Linked DNA regions of Notamacropus eugenii. The protein of the gene in region 2 interacts with the protein of the main gene of each other region in a pairwise test. Links are inferred from orthologs where the notes say so. Each region holds a gene or a part of one and is shown on either strand. Other genes may lie near its edges.

Region 1 (7,817 bases), about 44 Mb from region 2:
TATAATCAAAGTAAGGAAGGTAATAGTCCTGTTGTACTTGGCCCTGGTTGGAAAAAAACCTTTAGTACTGGGTTCCAGTCTCCACAAGACATTTATTTTAGGAAGAAAGGTGGAGCAAGCCAACCAAAATGGTGAGAAAAACAAATTTTCACTCAATATAAGGAAATACTTTCTAATGTCTAAAAATGGACAGGACTGCCTCCAAAACAGTGACCTACATCACTGTAGGTCTTTAAGCTGAGACAGGACAACCATTTTTGAAGTATTATCACAGAAAACTTCTACTCAGGTACAAATTAAACTAGATGACCTCATCATGTCCCTGCCAACTTGGATTCTATGATTGTGTGTGTGGTAACCTGTGGGCACCTCCACATAAGGGAAAACCTGAGGGAGAGAGTAAAAGAAGGACCTACCAACTATAGGGTAAAAAATGAGGAAGAATGGCACATAAGAAACTTTGTCTACCTCACAATTTTGTATAGGGCTGGTTCTGATGAAAGAATAGGAACTCTGGAAAGACAAGGAATTGAGCATTAAAGGTATGCTGATGAGAAACTTCCTAATGGCAGTAAGACAAGCTTCATTTGCAAGCCACTGGTCCATAATATCAAATACTTTCTTCTAAGAAAAGTGGTTCAAGTAGTACTGAAGTGGAAATCAACTCTGGAGCCAAGGAGACTCAAAAACCTAAGTCACTGGTAAAATCAACACATAGACAAAGGGGTCCAAAACTTGAGAAAGCCCATATCCTGGGGTAAGGAAATGGATGTCCTAAAGATCATATGGCAGTCAGAGACCCCAAACTAGAAGATAAAGGTCTCGGATTTTTCACTAGAGAATAGATCTCTCCTAAGCAAAGTACTATATTCCATGGCCATTCCCAGATTAGAAAGGTATTTGGGCAATATGGTTGGGAAGAATGTCCTAAGTTGCCTAACTGCAATCTGCAGAAAGATATGACAATGGGGAAATTATACCTATTATTATTATACCTAGAATATCAGGAATATTAGGATCATTAGCAGAGAAGCTATCTGCTTGAACAGCTGCAAATGCAACAAGTGAACAAAGTATCTGCTCAAGAAGGCAAAAGAGGCAGGGTAAAAGGAAACAGAACAGTGATGATCAATCATTGAAGAGGGACTAAGACAGGCATACCAAAAAGGAAGATGGAAATAAATTAGGAGGCAGAAGTCAGAGGGAGAGGGTAGGCAAAACTATCTTTGGCTACACAATCTTCTAAATAAGAGGGATGGGGTTGGGGAGAAAATTGATGTGATCTGAAGAACTTTGCCATCTCTTTCCTTTTTCAGGGTAAAATAGTGATGGGAAAGTATGATAATAAAAGACAAACCAAGAATAATTAAAAAAAGAAAAATTCTCAAGGGGGGAAAAACCAATAGGCCTCCAATCTTTGACCTCTTGGAAGGTCAATAATACAGCAAGGGCTTTGCTAGATAGGGATCTCAGAGGTGAATAATAGGGCCTCTCATCTCTGACTCTACAAACTGTAAGTCCTCTCATTCAAACCCTACAGATGCTGCCACTATACAACACCAACTCCCAATAGAAAAGAAACCAAGCCCATTAGTGACAGGTAGCTATGGACTGACAAACCAAGCTTCTGTGTAGAACATTTCCGCTCTAAGCCAAATCCTCTCATAGTAACCTCATCCAAGTTTTGAAAAAAATTTGGTCCATCCAATTCCATCACTAGGTAGGAAAGCCCACAGAGTCCCACAAATGAAAGTTCATCTAACTCTGCCTGGTAAGACCTTCAAGCACCTTTCTAAGATGATTAATTCAATCTCTTCCATTCCCTGCTTCTCAGTGGGGGGCAGAGCACCAATATTACCTTTTAATAAAACTAGGTGGGAATGAAGCTAATCATGCCCTCCTCAAACAAACTTTCTAGCTCCCTCACAAATGAAATTCTCAGGGAGACAAAAATTAGAAAGACTGAATGCTCCATTCAACTGTACTTTGTATGGAGTGGGGAAGAGGAGACTTGAGTTTGGGGCTGTCACCAAACATAGGAAAAAAACCCAAACATCATACCACACTGGTCTCTATTACTTCTGCTCTCTACCTCAGTGGCTATCAGGAATCTGTGACCACTCTCTCCCCTACAATGGGGTCACTCAAGTGGACAAGATGAGTAATTTCTTACTCTCTGGAACCCATAGTCTCCCAAAAGCTCCTTAACTGATCCCAAAGCTTCTGTCAAGTTTCTCAACTTCTCTATTCCTCTAGCTTAAATAAAATTTACTTCTTTCACCTTAACTCTTTCCACTGAGTCCAAATCTCCCTCAGTTAAACTCCTTAAGTTACCATTAAAGTTCTGTCATTACCCCCCATCCCTTTTGATATCTTCTCTACTTAAGTTCGACTCTAATTTATCACTCACCTCATCCTCCCAATTCATTCTTATTTCCATCCATTGAACAGCTCCCTGGCAGCCCAGCTCCAGTAACCCCCTCACCTCCTCGATGCAGCCCATCAGGCTGACAGGTGTGGCCCCTCCACCACCCATCCCCACCTTGGCACCCTACATATGGGATTATTTCATCCACCCCTCCAAACCCTTTTCTCCAAGGACTGGATCTAGTCCCCCTTCTTCGCCACCCCCAATTAAGCCAACCCCAAGCAATCCCCTTTAGTCTGCAGGGCCCAACCCCCCCTGCACTCCTCACCTCCAGAATGAGCCAGGCCCACCCTATCACATCCCACCCCAACCAGAGCCAGGCCTAACTGGGTCCAAACACCTCCCAGCTCGTCTTCTTACCTTTTCCAATACACCCCAGACCCCTGCCCACCAACTTCGCTCTCCCTTCCCCCCAGTCCCCCGACTCAAGAGCTCCCCGTTAGGCCTGCCCATCCCTGCCCCCTTCATCCTCAGTCCCTCCCTGGCTCCGGAGGGTGCCGAAGTCCGTTCCCTTTACCCCCCTCAAAGCAGGGCCTCCCTCCTTGTCAGTTCACCCGCGCCTCCTTCCGCCCCAGCCCCTCCGACTCCACCAGCCCCAGTACCTAAGCCTCCGACTACCCAATCGGGCCCGAGCCTGTGTCGAACAGACAAACAGCTGCAAGTCAACCAAACCCTTCTCCACCTCCTCCTCCTTCTCCTCACCCTGGGGCGGCGGCCTTGACCAATAGCAGCTTCCCCCACCCACCGCCGGAGGTGGGGCTTACGTCGACACATTCGCCAATCGCCTTTGGGGAGGTGGGTTCTTCCAGCATTGTCGCTAACGCATACGAGAGAGGGCCCTGACGGACGAAACACGCAACCAATAGACAACGAAGCTCCATGCAAATGAGCAGCCATTAAAGAGCGAGGTTTCCGAGGTAAGAGGCGGTGCGCTGTTAACGGACGTCTGTAGCGACCAATGGAATCTCGACACCCAACGAACCTCCCCCTCCTCCTTTCGACTCATAAACATCTAATCAGGTGAGCAATGGGGGGAGGATCTTGGCAGAGAACTGACCAATCGTGTCACGAATTAAAGAATCTGCTTGGCAAACGAGGCGGGGCAGAAAGGAAGCCTTACGTTAACCTTCGCCCCCCAAGTTTGGAGTTGATACCAGGTAGCATCAGCCGTGAGCAATTTGGAGATGAACCTTAAACATTTCTTACCTAGAAGGATCTTTTCACTTGATTGGACAGGGGAAGGGGGAGGGGAATGAAGGTAGAGGAAATGTTCACTTCCGGGGGTCGGGGCAAAGGTCATGACCCCTTTTGCTTGGTGTCTGCCTTTTGACTGAGTTTCCAAAGTGGAGACTTTCCATCCTGGGTCTTAAAGGATAGGAAGATACAGGTGTGGTCTATCGCCGGGTCCGAGGGGCCGGACCCAATGGTCTGTGTGACCCCCACTTAAAGCAGGCGGGAGGCGGGGGCAAGGCGGGAAGAACTGAGCTCCGTTCCGGCTTCCTCCCGCCAGCTTCCAGAGCTTCTCTCTGGGCCTGCCTGACTTCAGTCATTTTTATGTTGGAGACCCAGCCCTGGGAAAGTCCCATCACTAGACCCTGCCCTCCATTTCCCCGAATCCCAAGGATAAAAGAAACAGACTATCAAACTAGGAACTTTCTTTTAATGAATTAGGAACTAAATTACAAATAACATTAACAGAGACTGGGTGGGGGGAGGGGTTGGGAGTGAGGACGCACACGACCATAGGAAGACAAAAATATTTTTTTTAATATTTCCCTTACAAAACCCTAAAGGTGCACACGGCAGCAAAATTCCTCCCCGATTTAAAAAAAACAAAACAAACACAAACAAAAAACTACTACAACCTGGAATATAAATAGTATTGTCCTTCTTTCCAACAAATATTCTCTGGCATTCCCATTGCCCAGTCACAACCTTCCCTTTAAAAAGTGTCAGGCATTCTCACAATGACTTTTAACCTTATGCCGTGGCCCCAGTTTTGAGTTTCCTTCATTGGAGGATAGGAGGCAGAGATGCTCAACAGTTAAGTGAAAGAAACTAGAGGCCAATTCCAAAAGAGATGGAAAAATCAAACACCTCCCACCCTTATAAGGCAGCAGTGAAGTAGTCATGGATCAGAATGAAGAACAATTCTCCCTCTCTTCTCCCTTTGTTTCCATCCTTCACCCCAAGTTCAGTTTTTGCCAAATGGATAGAGGGGTGGCAGACAAGGGAGCTCGAGCTAGGGCTAATTAGTTCTATGGCAGCACTTACTAGGACTGGTTTTTATTTCTCCAGCTTATGAGGGGAGATGAGCACTCTGGGGTACAAAATCTGGTTTTATCTTATTTTCTTTTTAAAAAATTCACAAGGAAAAGCATACACACACACACACACACACACACAACAAAACAAAAATACACAATTATTTAAAAGGGGCCTTGTGGAATGTCCTTTCAAAGCTTCCCACCTAGCCCTCTGCTTATAGTAAGTCCTATATAAACAGTAGCAGCAGGAGGATGGGAGGGGTATGCTGAAAATCCTATGTGTCACTCCCAAACTCAGGAGACAATCATCACCAGACAGAAGTCCTAGGTAGGGGGTGGTTTGTCAGACAGTGGGGAGCCCTGAGGTCCTGTCTTTTGTCCATCCCCCTCAGCATAGATCAGGAGCTGAGGCTTCAGGGTCTGTCTCACTGCTCATGCCCTAGAAGGAGGCAGTGGAAGGCAGATGTTGGCTTAAGTGCATTGAATACTGAATCTCCCTTTCATTTCCTACCCCTCCCAATCCCCAGCTATCCCCAAAATGGGTAGAGCAGGAAAAGGGAGATGGTAAGTTGAGAGTTAGGGGCAGCCAAATTGGCTCTCCCTGACCCCTATCTAAGTTCAAACAGCCCCAGAGCCAGGCCAGGGCTGATCTACCCTAGAAGGTGAGGATAGGATTGGGGGGTAGGGGCACAGCATGGCTCAGAGTCGCAAGTGGGGTACAGGCTTGGTAACATCCAGGAAGAAGGGATGAGTTAGAGCTGCCTTGGCTGAAACACGCTTGTTAGGGTCATAGTGCAGCATTTGCTGGAGGAAGAAAAGGAAATTATTATTAAGAGGGATGTCTGTGTGGCTGGGTGAGGGACAAGCTACTTAAAACACAATCCCACCCACCCTCCATCTTCTACACAGATGGGCCATTTCTGCAATTTACTATACCATCTGACTCAACTTCAACCCCTATTCCCTCTAAGCTTTGCTGGGCAACCACCGAGGAAAGACAAGGCACAGAAAGAAGGCTCTTCTTTAGGAAATGGTAAGACCTTTGAGTCCAAGGGACCTGACTTCTTCCTGACTCTCCAGGTGAGGGGCAGTGTGACTTGGGTTGGGGGATTGTGAGGTACAAAGAAAGAGGTTGATTTCTTCCCTCCTTCCTAGCTTACCGATAGCAAGCTCCGTCCATCTTCGTCCAGTGGAGGCACCACCTTACTGAAATCTTGTCGTGCCCACTTGGGGAAACTGGGTTTATAATCAGGCATGGAAGTCACTCCTGGCCAAGCTACCTCATCTGGTGTCCCCAGTGTCCGAAAGATCCTGAATAGCTGGTCAATTTCAGAGTCTCCAGGGAATAAAGCCCTACGGGTAATCTAGAAAGTAGAAGAAGAGGGGGACAGGAGTGATGTAGATGAACCCCTCCCTGCACATAGAGTAGAGGTTCCCACAGGCAGTGAAAGGTCAATGGGACCCCATGACTCCCCCCAGGGCCCTTCACGGGGTCAGTCACACTTGAGCCTGAGACAATAAAGCCCCTTTATTATCTCCACGCCTCCTCCTTCCCTCCCCCAACCATGGCTTTTCAGATCCCCCTAGGCTGGGGTGGGGGGGTTGGGGTAGGGTGAGTGGGGACCACTGATGTGCAGCAAGGGGATCCCAAGCCACTCACGGGGTGTGGGGTGGGCATTGAAGTCATCCCCCCTCCTTGTGATGCAGCCACTTCTAGATAGGAGTACAGAGGGCAGGGACTGTGTCTTCCACTTCTTCTGTTATCCCCCACAGCACCTAGCACAGTGCTGGGCACACAGTAGGTGCTTAATAAATCCTTGTTGATTGATTGAAACAGGAATATGGGCAATCGTAAGGTAATGCATTAAGGGACAAATAACCCATACTATATTTTTAAGATGATGGGTTCTGAGCCCTTAGCTCAGTTTCCTCATCTATAAAATGAGGGGGATAGACTAGATGACCTTCAAGGTCCAGGAAAGGAACCTGGGAATAAGCTCTCAATAAATATCTGTTGTTGATTTGAAGATACTGGGCCAATGTGTTGCTTTGGCCCAAAAGACCTATAAAAGGCTAAGAGTTGTCAGGGAAGATATTGGTAACAAAAGGGAAAACATTAATCCCACCCTTGTCCAAAACCATGGTACATCTGTACCTGGAATACTGGGTACAGTTCAGGTTACTGCGTCTCAAGAGAGATTATCACTGAAACTGGAGAAGATTCAGAAGGATAATTTAAATAATCAAGGGGATGGGGGAGGGGCTCTCACATGACTAAAAATATTAAGAATCTTCTGTTGGTAAAGTCAAAAGTTGAGAGCATATGCTCAAAGTCTATAAAAATAAAAAATAGTATAAATAAAGCTCCCTAAATTCTGTGTTATTAGAACCAGGAGAGGTACCCTAGGAAGTTGAAGGAGGAAACTTTAGGCTGAGTACAGGAAATACTACTTCCCATAGTAGGAAGTAAACTTTTGGAGAGCATGAAATAGCTATAAAAATAAGTTTATCTGTAAATTAATGGTGACAGAGCTACAGTGGACTATTAAAAGAAATGAAGATTTTGTCAGGGGACTATCGTACCATTTAAAGTCACTACCAGGGAAGAAAAGCATACCCACCCACCCCATCCCACTTCCACAATACTTCCCTTGCTATCAGAAACTAATGTAGGGCTGGATGGAGCATAGGTCTTAACCAGTGTGGCAGTTCTTAAGCATTCTCATGCCATGAGATAGAAGGGGATGTATGTGTGTGTGGTAGAGGGAGAAGGTGGGAGATTGGTGAGGATTAGGGTCAGGGTCTACAACATACCATCTCTGCAAAGATACAACCCAGGCTCCATATATCTACAGCTGTTGAGTAGTATTTACAACCCAAGAGGATTTCTGGTGCTCGATACCACAGGGTTACCACCTGAATGGAATGGAAAGGTTGGTGATGTTTAGATAGTAGGGAAATCCGAAGCCTTTTGACACCATTCCCTAAAAACTCCAATCTTTAGAATAACTTTTCCTCTCTAAAACCTGTCCCTCCCACTGTTTTACCCCTAATAATCTTTTCCAACCTCAGATCAGTTCAACACGTGGTGCTTACCCTTGCCATGCAATTTCTTTTATGTG
Region 2 (7,869 bases):
ATTTATGTTTTTTTCTTCCAAAAGATTTGCAAGTGCCCTGTAAAATGACACATTATTCAGAGAGAGACAGGGACAGAGAGACAGAAAGACAGACAGAAACAGAGACAGAGAGACACAGAGATAGAGATGCAGAGACAGAAATAGAGAGACAGAGAAAGGGACAGAGAGACACAGAGATAGAGATAGAGATACAGAGAAACACAGAAACAGATATAAGGAAACAGACAGAGTCAGACAGAAACAGGGAGGGACAGAGAGACAAACAGAGACAGATAAAGAAACAGAGACAGAAAGAAACAGCAGGACAGAGAGATAGGCAGAAACCCTCTAGCTCTGGTTTGAGGCTACTGCTTGGAAAGCTAGGGTAGAAGGAAGTAGGCAGGTGAGCTCAACTCAGCTTTTTATAGCAGAGCTTCCAATTTGAATTATTCTTGATAATTAGGTGCCACACTTAATAGTCTCTGCATTTCTAATAGAATGCAAATTCTGTCAAGTTCTATGAGGCAGCTAAGTGGCTGATAAGAGTGCTGGATCTGGAGTCGGGAAGACCTCACTTCAAAACTGGGTGACCCTGGACAAGTCAATTAACTTCTGTCTGCTTCCTCAAGTTCCTCAACAATAAAAAGGGGGAAAAAAAAGAAAACAAAAAGAATAAAAGGAGGTCATAACAGCATCTACCTTCCAGGGTTGCTATAAGAATCAAATAAGTCAATATTTGCAAAATGTTTAGCACAGTGCCTGAGACAATGATACATACCTATTGCTTTCCCCTTCTGTCCCTGCTCTCTAAATTCAGTACACCGTGTCAAAATACTGCTTACCCCACTTTAGTTATGTCTCCACTGATATTAAAAAGATTTTAGCAATAGAAAGGGATCTATTTCAACTCCTTTACTTTAGGATCCAGAGAAGTTAAATGATTTATTCAGCGGCTATTCTAGTTAGTGATAGAGCTAGGAAATAGAACTTGCCCTTCTAATTGGTTCATTGGTCTTGTGACCACATTTTTTCCCCATTCATTTATAAAATAGGATAATGTTATTGGCACCAAAGATTTATTATGAGATTGCTTGGTACCTAGCACTTATTTAAGCACCTAATGGAGGCAGTGCATTATACTAGCTGCAGGGGGCTGAAGGGAGATACCAAGACTGTAAGACTTAAAGATTCCAGAGCTGATAGTCCAGAAGGGGCAATATGCATAAATCGGTGCCTATAATACAAAATGTTATGTGATTAAAGAAGTACAAAATGCTATGTGAGAGCTGAGGGAGAAAGTATTACTAACTGGGTGTGAGGATCAATGAAAGTTTTATGGAGGAGGTGTCATTTAAAAGCATTCCGGTTCCCACAACTGGCAGGGAGGGAGGGATGGGGGAAAAAGCAATCAAGACCAAAAATAAACCTAACAAACAATGATAAAAAGTTGGGAGAGCGTGGAACGACTATGGGAGATGGCAAGAGAATCAGTTTGACTAAAGTACAGATATCTATCAGAGAGAAGTGCTGAGATAAGGTTAGAACCACAAGGTGATACCACAGGATTACTCAATTACTGATTTTATACTCAAACATTTATACTCAATTGGGCAGCTAGGTGGTATAGTGGCTAGAGAGCCAGGTCTGGAGTCAGGAAGACGAGTTCAAATGCAGCCTCAGATACTTATTAGCTGTGTGCCTCTGGGCAAGTTACTTAACCCTATTTGGCTCAGTTTCCTCACCTGTAAAATGACCTCTAGAAGGAAATAGCAAGCTACTTCAGTGTCTTCATCAAGAAAACCCCAAATGGGGTCAGGAAGGGTTGGACAGGACTCAAGAGTAACAAAAACACTTAATTGATAAGACAATAGTGAGTCACTGAAAATTTCTAAGGATTAGGAAAGCTTTTTCTTTCTGACTAGACTCAGCACTCCATCTGCTATGCCACCTAATAGAACTTGACACAACTTGCATCCCATTAGACATGGATCATAAAGGGCAAAGTGGTGAAAGGTGATTTGGAAGTGGAGGTGGTGGTAGTGAGGAAACCAGAGCAGAAAGGTGTGTAGGATGGAGGAGGGTATGGTAATACTTCAGCTCAGCTAGGCAACAAATGGGGGACATAGGGTTGGAGAAGTGAGAATGAGGAACAAGTTTTGGTGAAATAGTTATGGGAATTATTTTGTAGACAGAATCCACAGGAATTGTAAGGAATGAAGAGGACAGTCCAGGGTTAGGAACATGGGAGATGGGGTGCCAAAGACACCACAACAAGGAGAGGAGAAAGTACAATTTCAGACAGATAGAGTTTTAATACTTGTAGTACTATCCAGAAGATAATTATCTTCATGGAGAGCAGGGATTGTTTTTTGACTCTTTGTACTGCACCAAATAAATGCTGACTTAATTAAAAATGATTGACTGGAGTTCGGAGAGGTGGAATCCTGATCTGGACTTTGGGATGTGTGATAATAATACATAGGAGAGGCTCATAGGTTCATATATTTAGAAATTCGAGTAGCCTGAGACGTTACCCAACCGCTAAGAAAGCAAGAAAGGAAGAAAGGAAGGAAGGAAGGAAGGAAGGAAGGAAGGAAGAAAGAAAAAGAAAGAAAGAAAGAAAAACTGTGACCTAAAGTGGCTTAATGACTTGCCTAAGATTATGCAGGTAAGGACAAAACTTGGGGCAATATCAGTATCATGGAGGAAGAAGGCTGAGCATTTTAATGAGCACGAGCTGATTAAGTTAGAGGCAGGTTGGCTTGGTGAATCAAAGGCTCGAAGATTCCCGAAATCAGCCCCACCTCTGACACCTTCTGGCCGCAGGCTCCAAGGCTGCTCATGTGACTTCTCGGGGTCCCAGGAAACTGTGAGACAGAATAGCTTGTGTGTGTGTAATGTGCATGAAACACGCACGTGTGTAACGTACACGAAATATACATGGGTGTAATATACACGAAACATACATGGGTGTAACATACACGAAACATACATGGGTGAAATATACACGAAACGTAAGCGGGTGTAGTATACACGAACTATACCCGGGTGTAATATACACGAACTATACACGGGTGTAACATACACGAAACATACATGGGTGTAACATACACGAAACATACATGGGTGTAACATACACGAAACATACATGGGTGTAACATACACGAAACATACATGGGTGTAACACACGAAACATACATGGGTGAAATATACACGAAACGTAAGCGGGTGTAACATACACGAAACATGCCCGCGTGTGTGTAACGCGCACGAAATATGCATTGTTAGAGTTAGCCAGAGCGGTCAAACGTCAGATTCTGTCCAGAAGAGGAAAGAAATTCCATTATACAAAAAGTCACATTCCAGACTCGTCTCCCCGGGAGCCCCATCTTTCCTGGGTAGGGCTGCGGGGGGATTCGCCGACGCCGGAGGCGAGGAAGGGGAGGACGAAGAGCGGAGTGGGGAGGAGGGGCAGGAGGCCAGTTTCGGGGTTCTCCGTCGGGGGTGGCGGGCAGGGTTGCCCAGCAGTTCCCCGGTGTCAGGGTGGCTGCGGATGCCAGGGCTGCCCCGCCAAGCTCCGGGCCCCCTCAGCCGTTGGCCGTGGGGGAGGACGAAGCCCGGTCCGGAGCGAGCCCCCGAGGGTCCGAGGGTGGGACTTCTCAGCCTTCGGTCTCGCGCCCTGACCCCGGCCGGGGTGGGGAAGGTGGCGCACGCGCGCCCCACCCGCCGGAAGGCTCCGTCCGCTCGCTAGTTAGTCAGCCTTTCGCCCACGCACGCCCCGCCCCCGCCGGCCTGGATTGGCCCCTGCCTCCGGCTCCGCCCCTAGGGGAGGGTCCGGACGGGCTCTCTCGGCTCCCTCTTCCCGCCCGGGGCCGGGAGGTGGCGCCCCCGCCCCCGCTGTCAGTGGCCGCGCGACTGCGCGCTCCCTCCTCGAAGACCGGCCGAGTGAGGGGCCGTGGAGGCTGCCCGAGCGGCCGCCGCCCTCCTGCCCTGGCTCGGGCCCCGAGCTCCACCATGCTCCGGCGGATCTTGCAGCGGGTAAGAGCCGAGGGCCGTGGCGGCGGCAGGCCCCGGGGCCGGCCGCGAGATTAGGCCTCTGAGCGGGAGCGGGGCGGATTAGGGGGTGGGGTGGGGTCGCGCTCCCTCTGAGGTGTGAGGGGGAGGGGCGGGGCCGGGCGGGGGCGCACGCGCTCTGGGGTGTGTTTGTGGCCGGGGGCCGCGCTCCGCGCCCCTCCCTCCGGGCTGCCGTTACGGCGACCGTCTGGACTACGGTGTCATTGAGAACGTGGCGGCCCGAGCCGGGGCTGGGGTGGGAGGGGTGGGGGATGGTGGAGGGGCGGGGCCTCGCCCGCCCCGCCCCCGCTGACCTTTAGGCAGCGACCCTCAGGGCGTCCCCTTCCCCGGCCGCAGGGGCACGTGGGTGACTCGGGGCGCCCTAGGAGCCCCACGTGCTCCTCCCCCGATCGCTGCCAGGTCACGGGAAGCCGAGGTCCTCCGGATGCGCCCCGGGGCCTGGCACGCAGGAGGCGCTGCCCAAGTGTGTGCGCACCTCGGGGAGGTGGGGGTCCCACCACCCGGACCCAGGCAGGCGGGAGCCAGAAGCCTTGCTGGGCCGATCCGAGGACGAAGGAAGTGCGGGGTTGGAAGCCGTGGTGGTGGTGGTGCGGCCAGGGTGGCCACCCAGGAGAGTTGAGTCATCCAGTGCCTGCCCGAGGGAGTGTGCCAGCTTCTCTCAGCTGGCTGGCCCTGTCAGTGTCATGTAGAACTTGGTCATGTATCCAGGGGAAGTGGAAGAACCAGGGCGTTCGGATCGGACGCTCTAAAAAAGACGAGTTCGGATGTCCAAAGGGCTGCGCGGAGCCTCTTCCTTTGTAAGAGGACTCTAGTAATAAGGGCAGGTCCTGGCTTCTGTTCAGCAGAAAAGACGTCTTCGTGTCATTTACTTGCAACATGTAACTCATTTTCAGGAACCCTTTCTCTTATGCCTCAGATTTGTTCTGTAGCTGAAGATAGTTGGCCTAGGATTTGTGTAAAGGTTTATGATGAAAAGAAAGTGTTTAAGGACTTCAAGGTGCCTTCTGAAAGGTATGTGGAGAGAGCTGCCAGAAAATTCAGGATACTTTGAAGTAGTGCTGGTTAATACTGTGAGGAATTAAGGTTAGGCAAATTTATTTGTTTTTCCTTGTTGATAGGAGGAAATAAATAGTGTTGGAGATTCCAAAGGAAAACAAGAAATTGGGATTAATGTATGTAAGCAGATAAGTATTTTATGAAGCTATCAAAACAGGAGGAACAAGTTGGTGAAATCTTTTGATGTTAATTACAGGTATTTCCATTGTGAACTTAAAGTTTCCAAAGCTAGCTGTTACACTTTGATTAAAATGTAACCCTCATGTAATTTAGAACTTAAGGACATTTTTAAATCATTCTAGAAACAATCATTTTTTTTAACCTCCTGAATTTTTTTGAATAAGAATACAGTAATTATAATGCAGTTAGTGTTTACCTTTTTTTTAAAGGGGTATGGTTAGTATGTACAAACAGGTATAACTTGAATCTTTAAGTTGTGTCACATGGCAACATTTTAATTTCACCCCACCCTGACAACCTGGTATTTCTTGTAAGAAGAAATGACATTAGACAAACTGAAGTATGTTTAGACAGTATGTTGGGAAATGGTCCGCATACTGTAAACTGTGTTATATATCATTTAGTGTTGTGGTCTTTGATGACCTTTTTGTTTCAGTCACAATTGTTTTTCTTTAGAAAAGTGCTCTTTAAGTAACATTTTTAAAAGAAGCAGCAAATCTTGTACTTACTATTATTTATAACTTTGAACCTAACCCCAAAAAGTACTAAAAGGGGATGGGATCTAGAGCTGGAAGGGACCTTAGAGGGCATTTAATTCATTAATTTGCTAATTAAGAAACTGAGACCCAGAAAAGTTAAAGTGACTCATCTTGAAATTACCCAGTTCTGAGAAATGGCTTATCTGGGATTATGCCAGTCAGTCAAACACACAGGTAATTGAGCTTCAATCTAATACCGAATTTTATTGTTGCGGTTTTAACAAATTATATTGGATCATAGAATCATGAATGTAGAGCTGGAAAGGTCTTCAGAATTCTGGTCCAGCTTCCTTACTTTGTAGAAGAGGTGATGAAGCAGAAAGTGGCTTACTTGGGATTCAAATTCAAGTCTGTGACTCGAGGTTCAATATTCTTTTCCATTACACCATGCTGCATTCCTAAATGTACCTTCTTAAAGCATCATGATCCTGCCCCTCCCCCCCCATACCTATCTTGTTACCTATCCAGAGCCCTAGCTTAGTTACTCATAGTTGCATCCCACCTATCTAGTCTGAGAGATACCTATGAGGTTCACTTTGCCTCCTTGTGTTTAGGGCCTGTAATTCAAATCCTTTGTAGAAGGTGCAGAACTTTGCAGGTAGCTTGCTCTCTATTTTCCATCGGTAGCTCTACCTCGTTTCTACCACATTATGCTCAAGTGTGGGGTACTGAGATACAAATGTAGATGTCAGCACTTCCTCCCTTCAAAGAGCTCACATTCTAATAGGGATATAAAGCACATTAGTTGATAAATACAGGATATCTTCAAAATAAATACATTGGTTTGAGGAGCTATTAACACTTGGCAGAATCACGAAAGTCCACTTGAAGTAGGTAATACCTGAGTGAGCCTTAAAGGGAGCTTCTGGTTTCAAGAGTTGGAGAAGAGGAAAGAGGACTTTTCAGACTTGAGAGCCAGCTTGTGCCAGGGCCTGGACACAAGAGATGTTTGGATTGTAGAGTGCATGAGGGGTGGAATATGTAATGAGCCCTAAAAGATGCGGGAGCCAGATTGTCAAGGGTTCTAAATGCTAAACAGACAAGTTTGTATATTGTTCTATCCTAGAAGCAATAGGAAACCACTGAAACTTCTTGAGCAGAGGAGTGCCTTGGCCAGACCTCTAATTTAGGTATATCAGTTGAGCTGCAGTGTGTAAGATGGATTGATGGAGAAGAGAGAGAATGAAGGCAGGGGTCCCAATTAGGAGGTTATTGAACAGTCCAGAATAGAGGTTTAGGGAGGTTGTGGTATGAGTAGATTGAAGAGGACAGAAAGGAGAAATGTTAAGGGTGTAGAGAATGAGTTGAGAATGAGTAGTCAAGGATGATTTCTAGTTTGTGAACCTCTCTAGAAGGCCAGTTCTTGAACACTCAAATTAAGGAGCTCTCAGACTTGCATCAGTGCTCAAATTTTGGATTATCTACAAGGTAATAACCTTCTAAGCCTGGAAAAAGTCCTCATAAGATCTCTCCTAAGATCCTGCCTGGGTAAATGAAAGGTTAGTGGCACTTTCAACATAATATAAGGAAGTTGGATAGAGGGGCAGTGAGTTTGGAGGGAAAGATAATGAGTTCGATTTTGGATGTATTGTGTTTGAGATGGCTCTGCCACATGCAAGTGGAGACTTCATGCAGATTGTTGAAGAGATGTGAACTAGAACTTAAGAGAGGAATGAAGTCTGGATATTTAAATTTGGAAGACATTTGCCTGAAGATCTTGGTTGAAAATCCATGGGAGCTGAGATCAGTGAAATGTAGAAAGAGAAAAGGAGGAAGCCCAGGACAGAGCAGTTGGGAAACATTTCCTCATAAGGAGCTGGTATTGCATGGAGATGAAAAGCAGATCAAGAAGGAATGCTTCAGCAGGTAGGAAGAGAACCAAGAAGACTCAGGGAAAAATGGAGGAGATGGTAGTCATAGTCAAACATAGTAGAGAGATCAAGAAAGATGAGACCCATGAAAGGCTGCTGGATTCAGCAGCAGAGAGATCATTGGCAGCCTTGGAGAGCCCAGGGGCAGATTTTGAGATTTTGAACCATGA

The links.
Region 1: the proteins of EEA1 (region 2) and RAB5B interact in binary tests that used the Homo sapiens proteins (3 or more experiments, as listed by UniProt). The link is inferred for Notamacropus eugenii from reciprocal best matches to the Homo sapiens genes EEA1 and RAB5B.

Annotation. Positions count from the first base shown.
Region 1 is NC_092874.1:231,171,266-231,179,082, reverse strand, and holds the start of RAB5B (ras-related protein Rab-5B), read right to left. Parts: upstream 3,152-7,817; 5' UTR 3,031-3,151; intron 1-3,030. Other genes in the region: CDK2 (cyclin-dependent kinase 2), read right to left, coding at 5,395-5,499, 5,856-6,059, 6,356-6,511, 7,510-7,611. UniProt on the Homo sapiens protein: The small GTPases Rab are key regulators of intracellular membrane trafficking, from the formation of transport vesicles to their fusion with membranes.
Region 2 is NC_092874.1:275,351,687-275,359,555, reverse strand, and holds the start of EEA1 (early endosome antigen 1), read left to right. Parts: upstream 1-4,765; 5' UTR 4,766-4,817; coding exon 4,818-4,850; exon of another isoform or gene 4,851-5,064; intron 5,065-7,869. UniProt on the Homo sapiens protein: Binds phospholipid vesicles containing phosphatidylinositol 3-phosphate and participates in endosomal trafficking.